Linked DNA regions of Tamandua tetradactyla. The protein of the gene in region 3 purifies or fractionates together with the protein of the main gene of each other region. This does not show direct contact. Links are inferred from orthologs where the notes say so. Each region holds a gene or a part of one and is shown on either strand. Other genes may lie near its edges.

Evidence for each region. The genes of interacting proteins can lie anywhere in the genome.
Region 1: the proteins of TOX4 (region 3) and PPP1CB purify together in Homo sapiens (affinity purification with mass spectrometry; 5 studies listed by BioGRID and IntAct, with this or other methods). This does not show direct contact. The link is inferred for Tamandua tetradactyla from reciprocal best matches to the Homo sapiens genes TOX4 and PPP1CB.
Region 2: the proteins of TOX4 (region 3) and PPP1R10 purify together in Homo sapiens (affinity purification with mass spectrometry; 3 studies listed by BioGRID and IntAct, counting the BioPlex papers as one, with this or other methods). This does not show direct contact. The link is inferred for Tamandua tetradactyla from reciprocal best matches to the Homo sapiens genes TOX4 and PPP1R10.

What each region holds. Positions count from the first base shown.
Region 1 is NC_135329.1:12,888,794-12,896,756, reverse strand, and holds the start of PPP1CB (serine/threonine-protein phosphatase PP1-beta catalytic subunit), read right to left. Parts: upstream 3,028-7,963; 5' UTR 2,932-3,027; exon of another isoform or gene 2,869-2,931; intron 2,718-2,868; 5' UTR 2,630-2,717; coding exon 2,578-2,629; intron 1-2,577. UniProt on the Homo sapiens protein: Protein phosphatase that associates with over 200 regulatory proteins to form highly specific holoenzymes which dephosphorylate hundreds of biological targets.
Region 2 is NC_135331.1:85,495,856-85,503,712, forward strand, and holds the start of PPP1R10 (serine/threonine-protein phosphatase 1 regulatory subunit 10), read right to left. Parts: upstream 3,028-7,857; 5' UTR 2,849-3,027; intron 2,843-2,848; exon of another isoform or gene 2,627-2,842; 5' UTR 2,107-2,626; intron 1-2,106. Other genes in the region: MRPS18B (small ribosomal subunit protein mS40), read left to right, coding at 3,483-3,560, 4,754-4,862, 4,962-5,059, 5,186-5,254, 6,468-6,534.
Region 3 is NC_135340.1:34,969,646-34,977,927, reverse strand, and holds the start of TOX4 (TOX high mobility group box family member 4), read left to right. Parts: upstream 1-4,968; 5' UTR 4,969-5,233; coding exon 5,234-5,239; intron 5,240-5,458; coding exon 5,459-5,527; intron 5,528-6,036; exon of another isoform or gene 6,037-6,096; coding exon of another isoform or gene 6,097-6,102; intron 6,103-8,282. Other genes in the region: RAB2B (ras-related protein Rab-2B), read right to left, coding at 14-81, 4,476-4,547, 4,760-4,805. UniProt on the Homo sapiens protein: Transcription factor that modulates cell fate reprogramming from the somatic state to the pluripotent and neuronal fate. In liver, controls the expression of hormone-regulated gluconeogenic genes such as G6PC1 and PCK1.

The DNA.
Region 1 (7,963 bases), on a different chromosome or scaffold from region 3:
AAATCTTATGTGAAGACTAAAAACAATTATTCATTAGAAAAACCAGATCTGCTTCAGACAAGTTTTTGGATGGGAAGATTGGCAGGGGAAATCTGGAGAATTTTAAGAATCTCAGGGAGGTACTGTCAAACAAAATATGCTTCACCCCCGCCCCCGGGGGTTAAGAAACAAGGAATAAAAACTCTTTACTGGTGGAAATGTGCTGAATATACGAACAGAACGGAGAGTGAAAAAAGCCAGATAATCCTTCTTAGCCTGGGAGCTCTTAGAGGGAGGAGACTGTGTTTTATCTTTGGATTCCTGGTCTGGCACAGAGTAAGTCAATAAAGGGAAAAATGTGTCTGAGATGAGAAATCTTACACACACACACACACACACACACACACACACACACACACACACACACACACACGAAGGTGTGGAAAAAAAGACTGTTTCCATTCCAAACGGAACCAAAATGTTTAATTTGCATACACAAAACCAAATAGAATCACTTACTTTCCCGACCAAATCTTTTTTCCAATAACCTTGACGATCTACTAAGTTTCCTAAGTATGTATAATCATAAAAAGTGGGTTCAACTTAAAAGGTTCCACACAGTACATTTTTAAAAGCATAGGTCTACCGTATATAAATGTATGGAAGAGAAAGGTGAAGAAGCTGCAATACAAACACCAGCTTAATTTTTTTTTACATTTACAAGCAAAATTTCAAATATATTCTTAAAGATGAATGTATAATGATACAGCTTACGCAATGTGACTGAGTGTGAAAATCTTGTGTCTGATGCTCCTTTTATTTACGATACTGATAGACGAGTAAAAAAAAGGATAAAAAAAGATCTTTGCAGAGTTAATAACAGAGTGGTAATTGGGAAAAAATTAACTACTGCATAGTATGGACTCTATATAAGCAGTTATATCTTAATAATTTTTATCAACAGTAACACATAACCACACCAATACTAGGGTTAAATAGTTGGGGGTGGTGGTAAGGGATATGGGGTGTTTTGAGTTTTCTTTGTGTGTGTGTCTGTTATTTTTCTCTTTGTTGCAATGGAAATTGTCTAAAATTGAGAGTAATGATGACTGTACAACTAAGTGAGGATACTGTGAGACGACTGTATACTTTGGATAGAATATATGGTATGTAAATATATACATATATCTCAATGAAATTTGCAGATTCAAAAAAAATTTCGTATAAAAATGGTAATATGTCAAAACCTCCCCAAAGGTTAACGAGATACTAAAGTTCTAAAATAACTATATTTCTCTCTCAGAATAATTTACAGGTACAAAAACTATACAATCTTTCTAAAAACAAATTTCTTACAGTTAAAACCCAACAAAATGTTAAAAGTCCACAAAATTCAAGCAGTGAACACTGACTGCAGGCACCAGGGGGCCTCCCAGGAATAACTTACTAGTAAAGGAAAAGGTAAGAAAGAGTTTCTGGTAAAACTTTGCTTCCTATTCATATTGAGTCAGACTCTTCGAAGGCTTTCACATCTGGAGCAAATACACTGTATTTAGTTACACATTAAGTACACACAGAACTGATGTTGTTTCAGATACCAATACATTAGCTGAATAATCTTCATGATTTTCCAAATTTAAGTACATATTGCTTCACTGCTGTAAACAATAATCTTCAGATAATGTGAAAGCAAATAATTCACAGACAATAATTTGACTATCGAACAAAAAGGACTCTAAATTTTAAAAAAGGCTTACTTAGAACTTTTCTACACACCCAGAAAGCAATGCGAATCTAAGGGTAAAGGGACTCATTGGCCGAAGATTGCGATTAACTTTGAATAATATCCTGTAATGAGTCAGTATGTTTAATTCCTGGCCTCTGTGCCCTTCCCTCACACATCAATCTAAAATTTTCAATAAAAACGCAAAGGGCCCGGAAACTTCAAACGTTGCTTAAACTTAAAAGGGAGGCTTTTCAACAGACCTCTCCTAACTATGTGCCTAAATTAAATTCTGCTCAAACCTGTTAAATTCGCAAAGTCTAACCAATCCCTTCAACATACCTATGTACATATTTCAGATTTCTTGCGGGAGGTCTTCCACTTCGTCAAAGATTTTACTTCCCTTTTTTTTTTTTTAAAGCTAAATAATAAACGGTAGAATTCAACTCGCGCTAATACCACCCTCTTCCTAGCCGAGTTCCTTCTCCAGCATCATACAAAAATGCAGAACAGCAGCTTAAACAATCACACTACGGAGTTTTTTTTTTTAAGTATATAAAATTCACCCCGAACAACAATGTGAGGGAGCCAAAGGCCAAGGCACAAAGAAAACCGAGAAGAAACGCGCGTTCCAGGGACATAGAGCGCACACCACACGCACCCTCGCTCCCTCCTTGGAAAGGGTCCCCACCGCGAGCAGCAGCAGCTCCCCGCCGCCCCGGAGCGGCGCCCTCCGTCCCCGAGGGTCCGCGGGGAGAAGTACCCTCCTGCGCCCTCCCCGCTGCCTCTGCCCGTCCGCCCCGCTGCCTCCGACTTCGGGAAGAGAGGATCGAGGAGGGCCCCCCCGCAGCCCGCCGGCCCGGCCCCGCGCTCACCCTCCAGCAATCGGGTGATGAGGCTGTCCACGTTCAGCTCCCCGTCCGCCATTTTGTCGGCACCAGGCTCTCCCTCCCGGCAGCGGGAACAAGGGCTTCTCGGTGGCGGAGGGTGCGGCGACGGCTCGGCCTTCTCTCACCTACAAGCCACACGGCGTTTCGACCCCAGGCCCGACTCCCCCCTTCTCCCGGGCCCTCCCCCCACCCCCTCCCCACCAAGTCGTGCGAGCGCGCGCACACTCGGAGGAACGGGGGATAAATCAATAAATAAACAAGCGGGGCCGCACGCACCGGGCCGCGTCAACCCCGAGCCTCCACCTCCCCTTCGGCACCGCCCAACGCCGCAGAGCTCACCAGCGCCGCTCCGCGCGGCACTTCCCCGCCACCGCGCCACGCAGCCCCCGCGCAGGCGCACTGCCGCGTTCCGCGCGGCCCAGGCCTCTGCGCAGTCGCACTGAGTTCACCCACCGCCCCCAGCTCCCGCCGGCGCCGCCGCCTTCGCGCAGACGCGTCGCCCTTTCCCTCCACTTCCACTGCGCCGACTCGCCGCGGTCGTGCAGGCGTCCTGTGGGGTTTCCGGATTTGCTGCGCCGAGGAGGCCCCCGTTACGCAGAGCCGGCGTCAGCGGGGCGGCCCTTTCCCCCTCATCGCCTTCGGGCTCAGGGCCTTCTGCAGCGCAGTTGGTGTGTACCCTTTCCGCCTCGCTCTTCTTTATTTCAACTTAATTCCATGATTTTGCAAGCAAGTCCTCGCAGTTCCGTTAACCGAGGAACGTAGGCCCCACTTACCCATGCTTGAAACCTGGTTTGCGCATTTGGGTAGCAAGAAGAGGTGGTCTGCTGGAAACGTTTGACATTGCACACAGTTCACAAGGCCAGGTCCCCAAGTGTCCCTGGATGAATGAATTGAAGTGAGCCTCGAAAGGATCAGCAATAATTATACTTTACATGCCTTTTACGCGGAGCTTTCACATATCTTCCATCTCCATCTGCCCCGTGGATGCTATTTTACCACAATATTTTGTGTTTGTGCCTCTATTATATTGTTTACTTTTCTTAACGTTGTAATTGTTTATACATTTATCTCACACTCGACCGTGGGATCCTAGAGGGCAAAAAATAAGCATTTGTCATGGCAGCACCCACCGAGTATCTGGCGCAGAGAATGTGAAGGAGAAGGAGAAAGGAGGGGGCTCAGCTGGTTGCCCAGCTGTTCTTTCCACCACATGTATGATGCGCGAGAGGGAGAGTAGCCGCCCAAAGAATCTAGGCAAGCCAGAGTTTTCTGCCTGTTCCGGGAGGTGGCCAGACCAAAGGCCTTTACCTGTCCTCAGCTGTTTTTCCAAAAACTCAGGGAGACTCTACAAGGTCGTGACCATACTTCTTCCACCCATATGTCACTATAATACCTAACATTTATTGAGGTCCTTGCATGTACTGGGCACTGTTTTAAGTGTTACACACTTGCTATGGCATTTAATTTTTGCAACAACCTCATGAGGTAGGTATTATTATTATTTCTATTTTTGTGGATAGGATTCATTGAGACACAAAATGGTTAAATACGTCTACTCAAATCACAGTAGTAAATGGCAGATCTGGGATTCAAACCCAGGAATCTAGCGACAGAACCTGCACCCTTTTTTTAAAAAAATGCAATTTTACTGATATATGTGTTTGCATACCATATAATCATCCAAATTGTACAACCAGTGATTCACGGTATCACTATATAACTGTGCATTCATCATCGCAATCGATTTTTGAACAGTTTCATTACTCCAAAAGAAAAAGAATAAAAGTGAAAAAGAACAGCCAAAATATCCCATATTCCCCAACCCCCTATTACTTATTTTCACATTCACACAGTCACACATTAAAAGCTCTGTAGTTATACAGTCATCTTCAAGATTCAAGGCTCTTGGATTACAGTTCAACAGTTTCAGGTAGTTCTCTCTAGCTATTCCAACACACCAAAAAACTGGAAAGAGTTATCTATATACTGCATAAGAATAACCTCCAGGATGACCTCTCTGCTCTGCCTGAAATCTCTCAGCCACTGAAACTTTATTTTGTCTCATTTCTCTTCCCCCTTTTGGTCAAGAAGACTTTCTCAACCCCATGATGCTGGTCTCGGCTCATCCCAGGAGTCCTGTCCTATGTTGTCAAAAGGAAATGTATACCTCTGGGAATCACATCCCACGTAATGGGGAGGGCAGTGAGTTCACCTGCCGAGTTGGCTTAGACAGAGGCCACATTTGAGCAGCAAAAGAAGTTCTCTGCGGTGACTCTTAGGCATAATTATAAGTAAGCTTAGCTTCTCCTTTGCAGAAATAAGTTTAATAGGGGCGAACCCCAAGACTGAGGGCTCAGCGTATTGAATTGGTTGTGCCCACTGCTTGAGAAAATATAAGGTATTCCCCAGATGAGGACGTTGACTATTTCCTTCTTTCTCCCCAGTCCCCTAAGGGGACTTTGCAAATACTTTTTCATTTTCTGCCCAAGTTACTCTCAAATATATCGCGGCATTATACTAACCTGTACAAACCAACAGGATCTTACGCACTATTCAAGATTCCATGTAATTATGGTGTTCAAATAGACTGCTCATACAAGTTAAATTAGATAACGTGCTACCCAAAATATAAATTTTGCACCAAATAAACATTCCTTCCTTTGATCTCATACAGAAGTTGAAGTTTTAAAATATGGATGATTTCATCCTTTACCCTGTATTCTGATTTACTTTAGTCCTGTCCAAGTCAGCTTCATTCACATCTCTAGTTGAAGTGTGATTACTTTTTCAACTCTTAAAATAGTTGCTGTATGGGATAATGCTGACTTTCATAGCTTCAGAGCTCTAACTCAGAGTCTCAGATGTCACATACATACCCGAAGTTTCAGGAAACAACTAGTTTATACACAAATAGCTCAGTATCTCAGCATTTAGAAATAACAGTTACAACTCCTGAATATATGTGACTGCTATAAGAACTTATGATCTACGACCCTTTACAAAATGCTCCAACATGATAACTCATGCTCTGGACTTCAATTCTCTGAATTTGTACATTATAGTTAGTCTGTGTGATTGAGGAATGACAATTTTGTCTTTTTGTTTCTGACATTTCATTCAACATAAGTCCTTACGGGTTTATTCACATAGGTGCATGTCTAATGACTTGATTCCTTCTTGCAGCCACTCAGTAGTCCATTGTATGTATCCACCACAGTTCCCCCTTCCATTCCTCAGTCAATGTACCCTTAGGCCACCTCTATTCATTGCGAATTTGGAACACTGCCCCATAAAAACCAGTGTGCAAATATCCATTCTTGTCCCCACTCTCAGTTCCTCCAAGTATACATGTAACTGCCAGGTTGCGGGCTCCTATGGCAACCCCACCCCTAGCCTCCTGTGGAGCCACCACACTGCCCTCCAAGGGGATCCACCATTCTACTTCCCTACCAGCAGTGAGTAGGTACAGCGCTCTCTCCGCATTTTCTCCAGCACTGTATGTCTCTCTTCATTTTTAAATAGTTTTGCTCATACATCATGTACTCCAACCTAAGTAAAAAGTTAGTGGTTTCGGTAGAGTCACATAACCACGCACTCACCACTACAACCTATATGAGGAAATTTCCTTTTCTTCCACAAAGAATCCACACCCCTGCCCCTTATCCCCTGCTTATTGACACCTAGCCTTGACATACTGACCTTGCTACATTCAATGGAAGCATATCACAGCATTACTGTTAATTATAGACCCTATATGCATTGATTATACTTTTCCCCCTATACCATCCCATCTTCCACATCTTGCAATGTTGACATTCATTTAGAACCTGCACTCTTCACCTTTACAACATTATTCTTTCATTGAATGTGAACTGAGACGCTTAAACATGCATGTGCTATATCAAAACTTGGAGAGAAGAAACTGTCAATTTGGGGGGAAAAATAAAGCATTGTTTAAACAAGTGCTCTATAATGGTCCAACTGATTTACAGAACTCTACCTTTTTTTTTTCTAGCTCCCTCTCCTTCATTTCAGTGTTGAGATTGTGCACTTACACAGAAGATAGGAGAACAGGCAATAAGCTGTGGTGTAGGTCCTGTCTAAAGTAGTTTTCACAGACTCTTTACTATCAGTTTACTTTGAGGTAGATAAGGATGAAGAAATGGTGCCTCATCACGCTATCTTGTTTGGTAAAAGTATATTTGTTTGTGCCCTACTTTATTCCAGATAAAGGGATTCAAGGAAACATAAATTCATGCAGTGGGATAAATTTAAAAATGAGTACAGAGAAGAATAGGACAAAAGAAAACTGAGAGTGGAAAAGCTAAGACGAAAGGCAGCAGTAGTGGATACAGAATACTTGTTGAGGGCCTATGGGTTTGTGAGAGGTAAACCACAGATATGACCCTAATCTTGATCAGTTGCAGGAGGAACAGATATTTTGATTGAGTTGGAACCTGGGTCTGTATAAACCAGCTTGTGCAGCTGAGTACCACTTCCTGAATCTCGAAGTGTACACATATTAAGAACAAGGGGCATCCAAAGGAAACTGGATTGCACAAAGGGAAAGTGAGAATCTGAAAGAAAATTTCCACAAGCGGGGAAGGAGAGAAGCTGGTCTCGGAATAGAGTTTTGGGGGTCAGAGGGATTGAAAGAGGCTGTGAGTATCGCCTATATATTTCCCCTTTTCCACCCCACCAGGTTTCCAAAGCCTTAGAATCCTGGGAAAGAAGGAACTGTTATAGAAATGAATGAGCCATATCACTAGGGGGCCCAACCAACTTTTATGTGGATCTCCTTCTAAAAAAACTAAACTATGTAAGTGTTCAGAATTCTTCAGATCTACTATATATTATTTAACACTCCAGCTGCTTCTGGGCACTGTAATCTAAAACATTAATTTTTCAAGCAAATCATATGACCATTCAATTAGGTAAGATAAATAAAGACTACAATTAGCCTCACATCAACTTAGGTCAAATTTGCCCTTAAAGTAGCCTTATTTCTTTTTTCAGAGTAAAACATGTGTGGAAAAAAAGGAAACAGATATATATTTTAAAAACCTATAATCTCATCAACACACGTATATTCCCATTTGATAAAATTGTCATCGTGCTTCACCTTCAATTTGATCCTCCTCTGTTAGATGAGTTTTGATACTATGTTTATGTAAAAGTCAGCTTTCAAAGTGTATTTGGATTTTGAAGTTATGGATGAGAGACTGAGGGCAGAGACAGAGGAGAGGAGTGGAGACCTGGAGACTGGAGGAGGCAACGCTGCACGTGGTGGCAGCAGTAGTGGCAGAGGCAGCTGGAGCCACCCTGAGGTTCGAGGGTGGGTAGACGCCAAGGAGAGACAGCCTGGCAGATG
Region 2 (7,857 bases), on a different chromosome or scaffold from region 3:
TGCCGCCTCTTTTCCTAAAGATTCACTTCTCATCTTAGTACCAATGTACAGGAGCTAAGCAACTGTAGAACGTGATACAGCACTGAACACAAAAGAGTTTATCCCCAAACCAAGAGGTGGGAATAAGGTTGATTTAGAAGGAAGTCCTAAAGTACCCAACCTCCCCCATTCTCATTACACAACCAAACAAATGCAGGAGGTTCAAGGAGCGGTGCCTGAGCATAAATGGCACATTTCAATTTCATTTATCTACTCAAATTACTCTTTCTCAAGCCTGTGTCTTTCCCCAACACCCATATATACATATACGACACACACACACACTCTTTCCCCCCACCTCCCCAAGATCCCAGTACAGTTGAATGTGACTGGTTTTCCATCCCTGGCAACTGAGGCAGGGAAAACTTCCAAGCAGTAGTGTTGAGTGCAGGTGAAAATAAAAGCAACGTGCTCTAATAATATAAAAAACTAGAGCTGCCCAAGGAGACGGACAGCCTCAAGACCTAATTCCTACGAGGTTTGATTTTTTTCGTTTTAAGATAAATAAGGAAAATTTCTCCTGTCTTCTCCTCAGCAGCAGCCTGCTTAGGGAGCGCCCAAGTCATCTGCTCACGGGTGGAGTTTCAAGAGGGTGGAGAGTGGAGGAAGAAAGCTGATTACATCACCTTTCAATGCTGCTCCTCCCCCTTGACCAAGTTTCTAGGGCGGCCCTAAGCTCTGGATGGCAAACGGGGTGAGAAAAACAACAAAGAAGCTGGGACGCCATTTTGTAATGGAGAAGAGGACTCAAATTAAAAAGCCACCCCGGCTCTGCCGGCAGCTACGGTTCCAGTATAAAAACACCCTTTTCTCGGTTAAAAACAAAACAAAACAAAAATCAGCCCCATCTTAAAAAAAAAAAAACCTAAACTATCTTTGTCTTTTTGAGTTAAGAGCGTGATGAAAATAAAAACAAATATTAAAAAGAACAATTTTCTACAGGGAAGAATTGAATTTGCAACTGAGGTTTAACCTGCTGCCACCGACCACCACCACCACCACCACCACCCCCCCCCAACAAAAGGAAAGGGGGAGGACCCGGACCCCACTCAACAAATAGGGTTGAAGTGGGAGGACAGGAGAAAAATGGGTCAAGAAACAACCTGCAACGCCGCTTGGAAGAAACAAAAGGACAAGGAAAAGTCGCCATATTGAAGCAGGTAAGAAAAAAATTCCTTTTAACGACACAAAATCTTTTAGAAAGCTAGCATTCAATTGCACTAAATGGCTTTTAAACTTATACTCCTGAATTCCACATTTCCCGTTTCACCCGCTATTTAACTGTATCCCCCCTCCAAAATATATCAAGTTAAAATGTTAATCATTTTTTTGCTTTTCAATAACCTATGCAATCTGCAACAATTACAAGACATTTTTTTTTACCTTCCCAACTATTGTATGTATTGGCACTGTTATATTTTGCCCTAAATTAAGTGTCTTGCAATCTTTATTCCTAGATTGCCACCTATTTTAGCCAAATATATCCCAAACAAATTACATTAAAATTTGAGAGGATTTAAAAATCATTTAAGTCATAGCCAGCTATTATTTCTCTGCCCATCTCCTTACCCTGCAATCTTTATGTACAGATTGCTTATTAATCTGGCAAATTGAGAGGCGCCCCTACTTGTCTCACACACAAAGAAGTGGGACTACTGGGGCCACAAGATCCACCATCTTTTGTATGTGAGCTCATTAACCCTTTTGAAGACTGCTAACCAGAGGAAGGTAACCATTCCTCCTCATAAGCCAGCACTACGGCTTCGGCAGTCTGGAAATTTGCTGTTTTACCAAGGGTTAACCATTAAAATCCTCACTTGCTGGCCCCCCCCCTCTACCTTTCTCCTTTCCTGCAGCAGTACAGGAAAGAGATCAGGTGGTAGGGAAGAGATAACAAGACTGTTCAGAGCCAAAGGCCCTTTTTAATGGAGATCAAGTGACCGGATTGGTCCTTCTCCAGTTCTATTTGTTCTATGATCTCATTTCTTCCTCTCATTATTTTTGGTTTCACAACGGGAAAGGTTGATTTCTTGTTGCAAGGCTGGTTTTTGAAAATTCGACACTTACTATCCAATTTTTTTGCGACGTCAGCACCTCGGGCTCAGGGGGGGAGGGGGCTAAAATTGGGGAGAAAAAAATAAAACCACCAACCAGGACCCAAAACACAATTATTTGGGGGGCCTCATTGGATGAAAAAGTCTCTTAAAAAAAATAAAGGCCAACTCAGTATTCATTCCCCCCCACCCAACTCCATTTAGGGAGGGGGGTTCGTAGTAAAAAATTCTGAGTGGTTTCAAAAAATTAAACGCTGGATGAGTGAATTTGGGTTGTTTTGGAAGGGAGGGTGGTTGATTATTTTTGAAGTTATGTGGTGTCGGTCCTTCGGCCACAGATTTCAAGTCCCAAGCAGCGTGGGCTTGTGGGGGGCAAGATGGGTGAGAAGGGGCAGAAGACACAAGTGGTTGGGCTGGTGGCTGCTGTTTTCCCTTTCCCCCCTCTCTCAGGATCCTTTCAAGGGCTTAGATGTTGCTGCGGCTTGTTTCTTTTTCCTCGTGGCCGGCCTGTCTTTCTCCGAGAAAACTCAAACCTGGGGTAAAAGGAACACAAGGGAGAAAGATGTAATCAGTACGGGTTGCTTCTAACACACCCCAAAGTATCACAAACCCCGAAATAAAGGCCCACGTCCCAATTCCAACGCAGCCGCTTTGTATAAAATGTGGCCCTCAAGTGAACCTACCCGACCCCCATTTCACAGGCCAACGCTCTCCGCAAAACTTTATCCACCCAATAAGATATCCACAAAACTTACCTCTAAACGAACCCCAGAATGGCGGCTGCCCGCTCGGGCGGAGTCTTTTATAGCAGGACGCCGCCCAACGCGCCCAAACGTGCTTGTGAAACGCCCTTGTCGCGAGACATTGTGCGCGAGGCGTGAACTCATTGGTCCACACGAACGACAATTCGCTCGCTGATTGGCTATCCCTCCTCCGCCTTCCTAGGCCCCTTTACTCCCCCCCCTTCCACCTCCTTCTTGTTCCCCGGCATGCGCGTGACCGGAGAGCCTAGCACCGCCCCTTCCTCTACTTCCACCACGTCCGCCCTGCGTGAACAAGTCTCACCCTCGGTTGGCAGAAAGGACCCGGCGCATGCGCACTTAGAAGAACTCGACCCAAAATCGCCTTCAAAATTGCTAAAAATGCTATTTCTACGTATCGGACCTAGAAGTTGTAGTGACTGGTTCAGAGAAATATAATTTTGATGCTTAATTAAGTTGTGACGCAGATGAAATTGGCTTCTCCCCGGGCTACTCGTTCACGCTTCCGTCCTGACGCAAGCACGTGGCCGGCTTCCGTACTGCGGGCTCGTCCTCGGTCGTACCTGTTCAGTTGCCGGGACATGCGCAGTCGCCTTTCCGGCCTTTCCTGCGTTTGGGCTGCGTCAACATGGCAGCTTCCTTATTGAACACGCTGCTGAGGCGGCTTCCTAAGATTCCACTCCTCAGAGGTGCCTACGGAGTTCAGGTACCTCCTCAGAACACACTGTGTAGTCCCAACTTAAATTATACTCTTTCATGGTCGTTGCTCCACTACCGGGGATCCGAGAGGTGGAGGGGGAGATTTTTCCATGTGCTCATGTTTGGGTGGGCTCGGGAACGCTTTGCTGCCACCACCATTCCTACCCGCCACAATACTTCGCACATTTTCTAATCTCGAACCGAAAGCAGAACCAGAGTTTGCGGTTATCCTCTTCCTAAGGTACTATCTCAGCTAAAGAATTAGGTGGCCGAATTGACCTTTATTATGCACATTCGTCTCTTAACTCTACAGATGGTGTCAAAATCTGTGATGACCTGGAATGTCTTTAATTTGAGGGACCCTAGCTTCTGGCTGTCCTCCTATTTCCCAGTAAAATTGGGATGCATCCTCACAACCTGAGAAACCAGTTTCCCAACTCTATTTATGTCACTAAGTCAACTTCTTATCAGATCATACTCGAGAGCTTCAACTCGGTCCTTTGTATTGAGATTTCCCTCCAACCTCTTGTACTCACCACCCTGGAGGTTCGTGGTAGGGCAGGACAGGTACCTTGGTGGAGCTGGGCAAGATGAGAAGGCTTGCCCAGCTGCCACTCCCTGAAGAGGGACTCCAAGAGTGTTGAGACTGGGGTCATCACGGATTTAATAACAGGCCTTGTAGCTTTAAAGCCTGCGTTAGGACTCGAGTTTGTCCTGCTCTCTGGAATGTTGAGCTTCAACTTTTTATAAGGCTGGACAACACAGTGACTCTGGATTGAGTTGGAGACGCATCAGTCCTATGCATCCTTTCACCACCACACGAATTTCCAAGAGACCAAACGTCTGCCCGTTTCCTTTCTTTTTCCTCTGTGACACTCAATTCATTTCCAAAAGTAATATCTTATAGGTGCCAGATTTTTAAATTGTCTTTTCAAATAGGTTTGCCTCCTGGTAGGATAGGGATTATCCTAATAATTCCCTGACATTAGCTTCTATTTTCAGGATTCGTTTGGAGGTAGGGAGAGTGTTTGTTGATTATGTCAACTTATTAACCCAACAAAAATATTACCTTCTGTATATATTACTGCTATAGTTCGTTAAAGCAGTGGGCATGCACCCCTTCCTCAAATTGTAGTAAGTGAAACAATGGAGTCCCTCTTTTTAATTCATTCTCGTTTTTTTTTCCCCCCCTCTTCCAAGGTTCCACTCCAGGTACTCTGCACCAAAGTCACCTCTGACAAAGATTCTTTGCCCCCAGCTCCTATTTCTCCTTATAAGGATGAACCCTGGAAATATTTGGACTCAGAAGGTACCTCTCAATGGAGAAGGGGAGAGTTAGGTGGGGGTCTGATGAAAGTGAGCAGAGACTTCTTCTCCCAGGATTAACTTGTACCATCTTTCATTTCAGAATACCAAAATCGCTATGGTTCTCGCCCTGTCTGGGCTGATTACCGTCGCAATCACAAAGGTGGTGTACCTCCACAGCGGACTCGAAAAATGTGTATCGTGAGTTTCTAGGGTGAAACATGGATGAGATGTGGAGTGGAATTAGCGGCCATAGTGACAATGACAATAGCACTTTTTTTTGACTGGGCTTTGGATATCTCACCTGCCAGTTTTTTCTCCCTGCAGCGTAAGAATAAAGTTGCTGGGAATCCCTGCCCCATCTGCCGGGATCAGAAGTTGCATGTCGACTTTCGGGTAAGGAGAATCCATATTTCTTTTCTCCATTTCTTTGCAATACTGAAGAAATTACTGCAGATGCTCCACACTTCTTCATATACTGGTGTCCCTGCAGTCTATTTTGTACTGGTGGTTTCTGGCACTATAAGGGCACTCCTTCCTCCAGCCTTTCCCCCCCTACTATGGATTATACTAAAAAACTTTGCCTTACCTGTGAAATTCACAAGCTTCTTGGCAGGTAAGAGAAATGCCCAAAAGACTTTTTTATAAGCATCACATTTATTAGCAATTATTGAACTGATTTTATTTTTTTAAGGTTTCCTTTCATTGCCTTGTCACTAAGGGAGAGATTAAGGGATTTGGGGCTGGATGGTGGATATATGAAGCAAGTTATAGAGGTCACTTGACTTTCTTTTTCAAAAAGCCTTCAATATTTTATAAAGGACATGTCTTGCTCCTTAAACAGCTAGAAAACTTTATAAAAATGCTAACAGGAGTGTGCTTGTCTGAGCTTGCAGTGCAGGTGTTGGAAGTGAAGCCAGATAGCACACATTCATGTATCAGCCAGCTAATTGAGGTGCCTATCTGCTCTAAGGGACATAGGTTATGGTGGAGTCACGCAGATAATTTCTCCATTTCAGTTGTATACAATTGGTTATGAGAAGAGAACAAGGGACAGAGAGAAATGAAAAATTAAATAGTGCAGATGATTCTGCCTGCCATCCACTCTTCCCTGGGGATCCCGTTTCCTGTGAGCACACTTGTTGGCTCAGGGTCATTCTGTGTAATTAAAACTGTAAAATTGTACTTAGCCAATATATACATTATATACTGTGTGAAACTATATATAATATTTATATACAGATTGCTGTGTATACTGCATTTTCTGGGTGAGTCCAGAAATTTCTATGTTTGATCATCCAAATGTTTTGGCTGCTATTAGAACTTAATCCTGCGGAGGAGAATTCTGTATAAGTCTTAGAGAACATAGGATGTGCATGTGAAATGGCTGAAAAGCCAGGAAAGGGGAAAAGTAGGCTGGAATTTTCAAGAATGCATTCAGTGAATTGATGGGGCTAAAACTTGGCCATGAAAGAGGGTAGATTTAAAAAGGTGTGGGAGGATTAAGGTAGTCCATGTGGATGTGGATTTTAAATACTTTGAGTCTATAAATTCTTGCCACTCTCCCCTCCCTCTCTTGCTCATATTTCTCTATTTTGCTTCCTCATAGAATGTGAAGCTCTTGGAACAGTTTGTTTGTGCCCACACAGGTATCATCTTCCATGCTCCGTATACAGGTTAGCTCATCAGCCCTATCACCACCAGAATAGCTTATCCTTGGGGCACTCCTTTATTCAGTCAGGCAACAGGTATGTGTTTGGTGGGTTCTACTTATGGCATATAAAGTGTGATTGAACCTTTTGGGAGTTTTTTTTTTTTTTTAACTTTTTTATTGTGAAGTATAACATATATGCAAAGCAAAGAAAAGAGCAATAATTTTTTTTCATCACATAATTGTATATTCATCATGATGATCATTTCTTAGAACTTTTGGAAGTTTTAATGGGCTGAATGGAGAGACTCTAAATCAGTAACACTAACAGTTACTTGTGGACAAAAGAAAAGCTACCACTACAAGCAAGTACTACTACAAGCAAACCATCTAAATGTAGCTCTGAAAGTTAAATATTGACAATTATTTCCTTTATATAAAATCTCTTCATATTTACAAAAGGGTCTCCTCATAAATAGGTTGACTATCAAACTTGTACAATTGATAGTTCAGTACCATTGACAGTTCAATTAGACTTCCTGAATTTGGAATTGTAAGCTTAATTCAGAATTATTTATATTCCTTAACTATAGCCCACAGGCCAAATACAGCCCACTGTCTGTTTTTGGAAATAAAGTTTTGTTGGACCACAGCCATGTCCATTTGTTTACATACTATCTACAACTGCTTTCAGGCTACTGCAGAGAGTTGAGTGGCTGAGATAGAAACTGGAGGCTCGCAAAGCCCAAAATATTTATTGTCTGAGCCTTTACAGGAAGTTTTCCAGCCTATGCACTAAAGCAAGATAAATTTATTAAAAAATAATCTGAACCCACCATTACTAGGATTATCGAAGGTGACAGCATGATCAGTGGAGTTCATGTTGTTGGAGAATTTTAAAGAAAGTTTTGAGTCCAGCTGTAAATGGCTGAAGGGGCTATTTTGTTTGTCTGATCACCTTCCCCAGATGTGAAATCCCTTTTTTCCTTGATGAACCTTTTTGTGGATTGTCTAACTGAACTCTTTAACCACACTTGCCTTTGAATTGTGTTCTGTCTTCTGTCCTGGTGTCTTTGCCATTAAATGCCCAATCATCCCTTCTTTGTAGTAGCTAGGCCATCTTAAGTCCTCATCCCAGCTCTCAGAGAGAGAGAGAAAGGATTCTCCCCCAATGGGAAGATGGGGAAATTGAGGTACATGGATGGGCCAAGGGAATCAAGGTCATTAGGTAGAGGCCAGGTCTTCTAAACCCAGTCCTTTTTCATCATTTAGAAGCAGTGGGTCCTTCTTTTTTACTCGTGCCTTATAGAATGAGTGCTGAGTTATATCTCTGCCCCTCTTCTCGCCC
Region 3 (8,282 bases):
TGTCTTCTCTCACCGTATCCCAGATTTGCAGTTTGATTTGTTTTCCATCAATGTTGACCATACGGGCACCAAACTCCACACCTGTCAATGAATTCAAGAGAAAGAATGTGATCCTCATGAACAAAAGCCATGTTGAGTGAGATGTTCTTGCTTTTCCTCAATTAATTAATGATCCATCCTCTAAGTGCCACTCAGCCCATTATCATTGCCTACTTGCTCCAATTAATTATGTCCATTAAAGTTCTTGATTTCTCTTCTGGTATTTAAGAAAAAAAAAAATGTGTTCTAGGTAATAGTGATCTTGGGAATGCAACCAAAAGCAGACATAGGAATAAAATAAAGAAGCCAAATAAAAAAGGTGAATACATTCTAGCAGTGCTAGATAACACTTAAATTTGATCAGGCAACATATAATTTTGTAACTTATTCAAAAAACATCTGAAAATATTTCCTATTTTCTCAGAGTCACTCTCTAGTCCTCTATATGAAACATTTCATTTTTGAAATTCTAGAACTTTATGAGAAAAGAACCTATCTAAGAAATATATTCTCAAGAAGTATACACTTCAGAGCTCTAAGAATGCCTGGAGTTTACTGAAAATAGCCTCCCTTACTTATATGGCAGTCTGAATAAGTCTTGGTTTATCTGGCATTCATCTCCTCTTAGGTAATGTCAGGTCAAAAATTAAATACTGAAGGTCATTTACATTAAAATAGTTGGGTCATAAGTCAATTTGTCCTATTTTCTATTTTCATACAGTACTTTGCACAAAGCATGAAGAATTCTGATTTCCAAGTAAGAAAAAGCATTAATCCAATTTGTGCTAAAGGCTTCCTATGCACTTACTGAATGCCCCACGTAGGGATGCAGAATACAACACAAAGATCTCAACTCTAAGGTGCTGCAGTCAATAAGAAAGATGTAAGAAACACCTCTTACTATTCCAAATTGTTTCATGAGAATCAAGTGCAGCTTTTGAAAGACATTACTAAATTTATTTTTTCCCTGGACAGTAGGAATACAATTTTCAATGGGTAAGTATTAAAAAAAATAAGACTTTCGAATACCCTTAAGGCAATATCCTCCAGATATGATCTCAGAGACCCTTACATTTGGTATATGTTTTCTTTTTCTTTTTTTTTTTCTTGAATTAATTTTCTATTTTTATTTTTTTAATTTTTAATTTTATAATGTAACATATATACAAAGCAAAGAAAGACAAAAGCAATAGTTTTCAAAGCATTTGTCAACAATTAGTTACAGGACAGTTCCCAGAGTTTGTCTTGGGCTACTATATCACCATTTCAGATTTTCTCTTCTAGCTGCTCCAAAACATTTACCACTTTTTGTTTACTCATTCATCTATTTTTTTTTCTTTTTTTTTAAATTTTTTATTAATTAAAAAAAAATTACAAGAAAGAAACACAAACACTCCCAACACATACACTGGGCAATTCACAATATCATCACATAGTTGCATATCCATCATCATGATCATTTCTTGGAACATCTGCATCAATTCAGAAAAAGAAATAAAAAGACAACAGAAAAATAAAACAAAAACAGAAAAAGAAAAAAAGAATTTTACATACCATACCCCTTACCTCTCCCTTTCATTGATCACTAGCATTTCAAACTTAAATTTATTTTAACATTTGTTCCACCTATTATTTATTTTTATTCGGTATGTTCTACTCATCTGTTGACAAGGCAGATAAAAGAAGCATCAGACACAAGGTTTTCACAATCACACAGTAACACTGTGACAGCTGTACCATTATACAATCATCCTCAAGAAACATGGCTACTGGAACACAGCTCTGCATTTTCAGGCACTTCCCTCCAGCCTCTCCATTACATCCTAGGCACCTGACTCTTTTTTTTTTTTTTAGAAATCATACCATTCTACATATGCAATCAGTAATTCTTAACATCATCACATAGATGCATGATCATCGTTTCTTAGTACATTTGCATCGGTTTAGAAGAACTAGCAACACAACAGAAAAAGATATAGAATGTTAATATAGAGAAAAAAATAAAAGTAATAATAATAGTAAAAAACAAAAACAAAAACAACCAGACAGACAAAAACAAACAAAAAACAAAACAACAACAACAAAAAAAAAAACCTATAGCTCAGATGCAGCTTCATTCAGTGTTTTAACATGATTACTTTACAATTAGGTATTATTGTGCTGTCCATTTTTGAGTTTTTGTATCTAGTCCTGTTGCACAGTCTGTATCCCTTCAGCTCCAATTACCCATTATCTTACCCTGTTTCTAACTCCTGCTGGACTCTGTTACCAATGACATATTCCAAGTTTATTCTCGAATGTCGGTTCACATCAGTGGGACCATACAGTATTTGTCCTTTAGTTTTTGGCTAGACTCACTCAGCATAATGTTCTCTAGGTCCATCCATGTTATTACATGCTTCATAAGTTTATCCTGTCTTAAAGCTGCATAATATTCCATCGTATGTATATACCACAGTTTGTTTAGCCACTCGTCTGTTGATGGACATTTTGGCTGTTTCCATCTCTTTGCAATTGTAAATAACGCTGCTATAAACATTGGTGTGCAAATGTCCGTGGTATATGTTTTCTATTCTACTGCCTTGTTTGTCTTGGTAGAGAGGACTGAACTCAACAAGAAACACAGCCTTTATTGGACTCTGGGAAAACGTGATTGATCATTTTACTACTATACTTTAAAACCTGTCACTTGTTCTCTACTGCTTCAAGAGTTCGAAAATTTGGGATCTAATTTTTTTTTCTAGTTTTATTTCTCACCACTCTCCATTTCAAACTCCATGCTCCAGTCATATTGAAGTACTCAAGCTTTCACAAGTAGCCTGATCTCTGCCATCCCTGAACTTCTGAACATTCTCTAACCTAGTCACTTTTCTTAAAAAAAAAATTATTATATCCATAATCCCTCTGCCTGGCTAACTTCTGCTCATTCTTCAAGTTTCAGCATTTGTTGACAGAGGCGGCAACCTTGGCTTCCCCTTTTGTAAGGGGAATTTGCTTACCAGTATCTGCCCCAATTCCCATCTCCATTCTTGCAAGGAAGGCTATAAGCTACTGAAGGGCAGACATGATGTTACCTTGCTAAGCATGTATCCTTAGTATATGACACATCAGTATTCAGCTAAAATTCATTAAGGAAAAAAAAAAAACCTGTTGCTTCTATCTGGTAAACACTTTTCTAACCCTCAGTTATTTGGCTTTGAATAATCCTTTGGGAAAGATTTCTATACTGGTAGGATTTAGAAGTGGCTATATGGTGAAAATGGGAAGCTAGGACTTTTATGTAGAGACTGCATTTTTACAGCAAGAAGTTTAAGTGTTTTGTTTTGCTTTGTTTTAATCAGGGATGGGATTATGGAGAGTACGGGAAGTGGGATGCTAAAACTCCTCTAAGCCATGCCTTGCAACAAATGAGTGTGGGATGTTTATACTTTCGAAGATCACCAGGTTTTGTTTTGTTTTGTTTTTATTGGTACATATTATATATTCACATACTGTGTAATCATCCAAAGTGTACAATCAATGGTTCACAATATCATCATAAAGCTGTGCATTTATCATCACAATCGACTATTTTTTTCTTTTTTTGTGAAAACTAACATATATACAAAAAAGGAATAAATTTCAAAGTACATCACAACAATTAGTTGTAAAACAGATTTCAGAGTTTGGCATGAGTTCCAATTTCACAATTTTAGGTTTTTACTACTAGCTGCTCCAAGACATTGGAGACTAAAAGTAATATCAATATAATGATTCAGCAATCATAGGCATATGTTAAACTCTACCTTCTTTGTATAACTCCACCATCACCTTTGTTCTTTCTCCCACTCTTTAGGGGTATTTGGGTTATGCCCATTTTAACTTTTTCATGTTGGAAAGGGCTGTCAATAATATGGTTAGGGCTAGTTCATGCTCTGGAGAGGCTGGCCCCTCCACATTTTAGGACTCATCTGGTCTAGGGACCCATCTGGAGGTCGTAGGTTTCCACCAGTTTGTTTTTGGAATTCTATCATACTCTTTCCTTTAAAAGGAAAGTTATCAGTTTAATCTGCCTTTTTTATGCTTCTTCCTCTCCAACATACAAAAAAATCCATATAATGGTGATTACTTTGAGAAACATATGTGAGGTTAGTAATAATGTACCGCCAAGCAGATGAGCTCTTGAATCAGCAGTTATGCTTTCGTGGGATTTTCCATAAACATACAAATTGAGTTTTAAAAAAAAATCCTGAGGCAACCAATCCCGTATCTCACATTCATCGGTCAAGTTAACGTCCAATTATTTCTACCCCATTACACTCCTCATTTATCAGTGCTTGTTTTAATTCATTAACTATAACTTTGTTCTATCATAAAATAGGAAGTATTTTTACTTTGAGCATTGAAGGCTGCTAACTTTTCACTTGAGCTGTTCTCGGACAGGTAAATGCACTTACCGATTGTGAGGTCGTGGACAGGCTGGAACCGCTTGTCGGTAAATTGCAAAAGGAGACATGATTTGCCCACACCTGAAAGAGGACGAAGCGCGTTATCGCAATCACGCAGTCCCTGTGTGGGCTTTGAGAACCCGGGAGGGGGAGCCCCGAGTCCCGCCCGCTTCGCCCCGCCCCCGCCAGCTCTTGGAGTTACCCGAACTATTAAATGAGCCCCGCCTTCGCGACCCGATTTGGGAATTTAGGAACCACGCCCCAGCCTCAAAAGCGGTCAACCCGCGGTTTACCTGTGTCCCCGATGATAATGTACTTGAAGAGATAAGCATAAGTCATGGTCCCAATTCCTCTGGATTCCGGGTCCGCCCGATTTCTATAGCAACTTACCTACGGCCTCTCTAACGGCTCAATCTACCGATCTCCTTATTTTCCGCACCCCCCCCCCCCCCCAACTCTCGCCCCTCTAGCCTTGATCACATCTCTATTGCTCTTCCCAGAAATCCTCTCTCGGTTTGGGACGGTGGTTATACCCCGGCGCCGCCTCCAGGGACGCGTTTAGCTCCTCTAAGTGCTATTATCCTACCAAGCTCCAGGGGGCGATACCTACCCTCGGCCTTGCGGGCCTGACTCGCTGCGGCCCTGCTGTTCACCTTCCAATCAGTGGAGAATGATGTTCTTCATTACGGAAGTGACGGAAGTTCCGAGTCTGGTGGGGGCGGTAGGAGCGATGAGGGGACTGAGACGGTGGTAGCGGTTGTGTGAAGATGGAGGTAGGAACTGGAACGCTGAGAAGGCTGACGAGAGAACGTGGCCCACGGGTTTGAATAAAGCAGAGGAGGGAAGCCGGGAGGAGAGGCGGCTGACCCGGGAGGAGAGAGACAGCAGGGTTTGGGGAGTGTTGTCAGAAGGTCGGGGTCAGAATCCGTCGCTCCCAGCTGACTCCCTACCCGCCCCCTAACTTATCCCCGCGGCTTTCTTTTGGTTTCCAGTTTCCCGGAGGAAATGACAATTACCTGACGATCACAGGGCCCTCGCACCCCTTCCTGTCAGGGGCCGAGGTGAGCACGAGCTGATGACGCTGCGGGGGGTGGGGGGTGAGGGGAGGGCCGGAGGCAGCGGTGGTGGTAGGGTGGGGGCGGGAGAGCGCTGACGCGGGGGACCCGGGGCTGGGAATCAGGGTCCGCGTTTGGTGTTTAGGGAAAAGTGGTAGCTGTTTCTCGAACCTCTGAGGACTATCTGGGGAGGGTCCCGGAAGCTGCTGTCATCAGAAAAATAGGACGTTGGAAAGCGATGATCTGTTTGAGGAGGAGATTGATACTGAGTTGGAAGACAGTGGAATAGTCTCCTTTCGTAGGGAGGAAATAGCTACAACCGTCTTGAGGGATAACAGCAGGAAGAAAATGTTTTTGTTAAAGAAGCTGAAATGAGGATATGAACTTACCTAATGGATTAAATGTGGACATATGTTCATCCTTGAAACGAACTCTGTTGAAGGGGCCTTTCTTTCATTTAAACTTCCTATTCAGTAACAACAGCAACAGCAAAATTAGTAATTATGTTTATGTAGATGGCGTCACCATGTTTTGCTGATGACCGGAGGAAAGGAAAGAGGTACCAAAGGACATGAATGGAGTTAAGTAGAACATGTGTTTCTGCTTGTGGGTGACTCAGAGATTGAGCAGATTACTTCGCCTTTGTTATGTCACAGTTTTCCCATCTATCAAATGGTTGTATTAATAGTTGCTTATGATGTTGTGAAGTAGAAGTAATGGTTATGGTGAGGTCCTTTAGTATTTGTGGAAAAGTTTTGGTTTAAATATTGTCGTAACATGGATATGTATTACTTGCCTAGGCCAGGCAAAAGAGAAATATGAAACAGTTAAAAATAAATTTCTACTTCCCTGTGAGTGTGAAGTCGAAAGCCATCTACTGTCTTTTGAGGATTTAAAATTTTTTTTTCAAAAGCAGTACAAGGCATTTGTTTTGGTACCAAGAATTCTCAGTTGCTTTTTTGTGTGGACTTATCCTATAATAAATCCTAAAATTCTCCTGGATGAGAATTAGATTGACAAGGGACCATTGCTAGTTTTTTAACTTCTTTATTGCTGTTGTCATTTATTATACTTCTCCTAAGCAGAGGAAAGTATGAATCAAAGATACACCAAATTTAGAAGTGATATAAAGCTAAGGATCTGTTTGGTGCTTTGCAGTCTCTTTCAGTACCAGTTTTTCCCAGAATCAGTTCTGTACAGTATAAATTTCATTATTTGGAGTATTTGTAAATTTCACATTGGTCACGTCCATGCAAAAGTGCATTTCAAAAACTAAATATGAATGCTTTCTATTTACCCACCATTCTTAATCTTTTGCCTCTTAAATGAAGTCAAGTAATCTATAAACTACATGAGAGGTGGCTCCTTTTTACAATGTCAAGAAACTCCGAGTTTGAATCTGTTTATTGTGTGTGGGTTTGTTTTTTTTGTTGTTGTTGTTGTTGTTTTTTTAATAACAAAACCTGTTTTGCCAAGAAGCTCCTTTTAAAAGTAAGTTTTAGGGTCAACTTCTGTAGCTTCCTATGGTATACAGAATTGTTAACTGTTTTCCCTTTTCTCATTACAACTTCTACCTCTTTCCTTCCCCTCTTTTTTGTTTTTAACTTTTATTTTGATTCGCTTGTGTTTTTTGTAGGTAAAGGTAATATTTTTTTTAATTATTTAGAAGTAGAGTAATTTTTAAATTTTCGTACACGTAAAGGGTAGCTGTCCACAAAAAGTATTAAGTGTAAAAGGAAACATTGGAAAGTTGGACTTCATTGAAATTGGGAACATCTTTTCATCAAAAGATATCATTAAGAAAGTAAACTGGCAGTATACAGATTGGGAGATATTTACAGTACATTTATCTGACTCATATTCTGAATGTATCAGGTACTCCTGCAGAGCAAAATAAATAATCTAATTAAAAATGGGCAAGATTTGAAAACAGGAACCTCACAAAAAAGGATATCCAAATAGTCATATGCATATGAAAAAAGTGCCATCATCACTCATCTGGAAAATACAAATTAAAATCATAGTTACATGCCCTTGTATTCCTACCAAGTTAGTTAAAATGAAAGGATTGACAAACTAAGAGTTGTCAAGAGTATGGATAATTCAGTCATAGTTGTTCAGAGTGTGGATTGGTTTAACCACTTTGGAAAACTGACAGTATCTCTTTAGGATAAAAATATGCCTACCCTGTGACTCAGGAATAGCACTCGTTGGTTTATATGCAAAAGAATATATGCACATATATTCACCAAAAACATGTATAGGAATGTTCACAGCAACTCTATTCATAATAGCTAAACACCAGAAACAACCCAAATATCTATCAGCAGAAAAATAGATAAACTAGTACATTTATAAAAAGCAATAACTGCACAGCAATAAAAAAGAGCAAACTGCTAATTAATGCAATAACTTGGATGATCTAAAAAATATATTGTTGCATGAAAGAAACCACACAGAAGCTATATGAACACTATATGAGTTCATTTTTTAATGAGGTTTAAGAATAAGCACAGCTAAACCATTGTGGTAGAAATCAGAAGAGTGGTACTTCTTGTGAAGCAGAGTATTGACTGGAAAGGGACATGAGGAATTACAGTGATGAAAATATCCTGTATTTTTTATCTAGTTGGTAATGATTTGGGCTATACACTTAAAATTTGTGTGCTTTACATATGTTGTACCTCAATGAAATAAGGAATAATAATTTCAAAATAGTAGGTCTCCAGAGATGAAGGCTTAGTATTTATAACAGCATTTC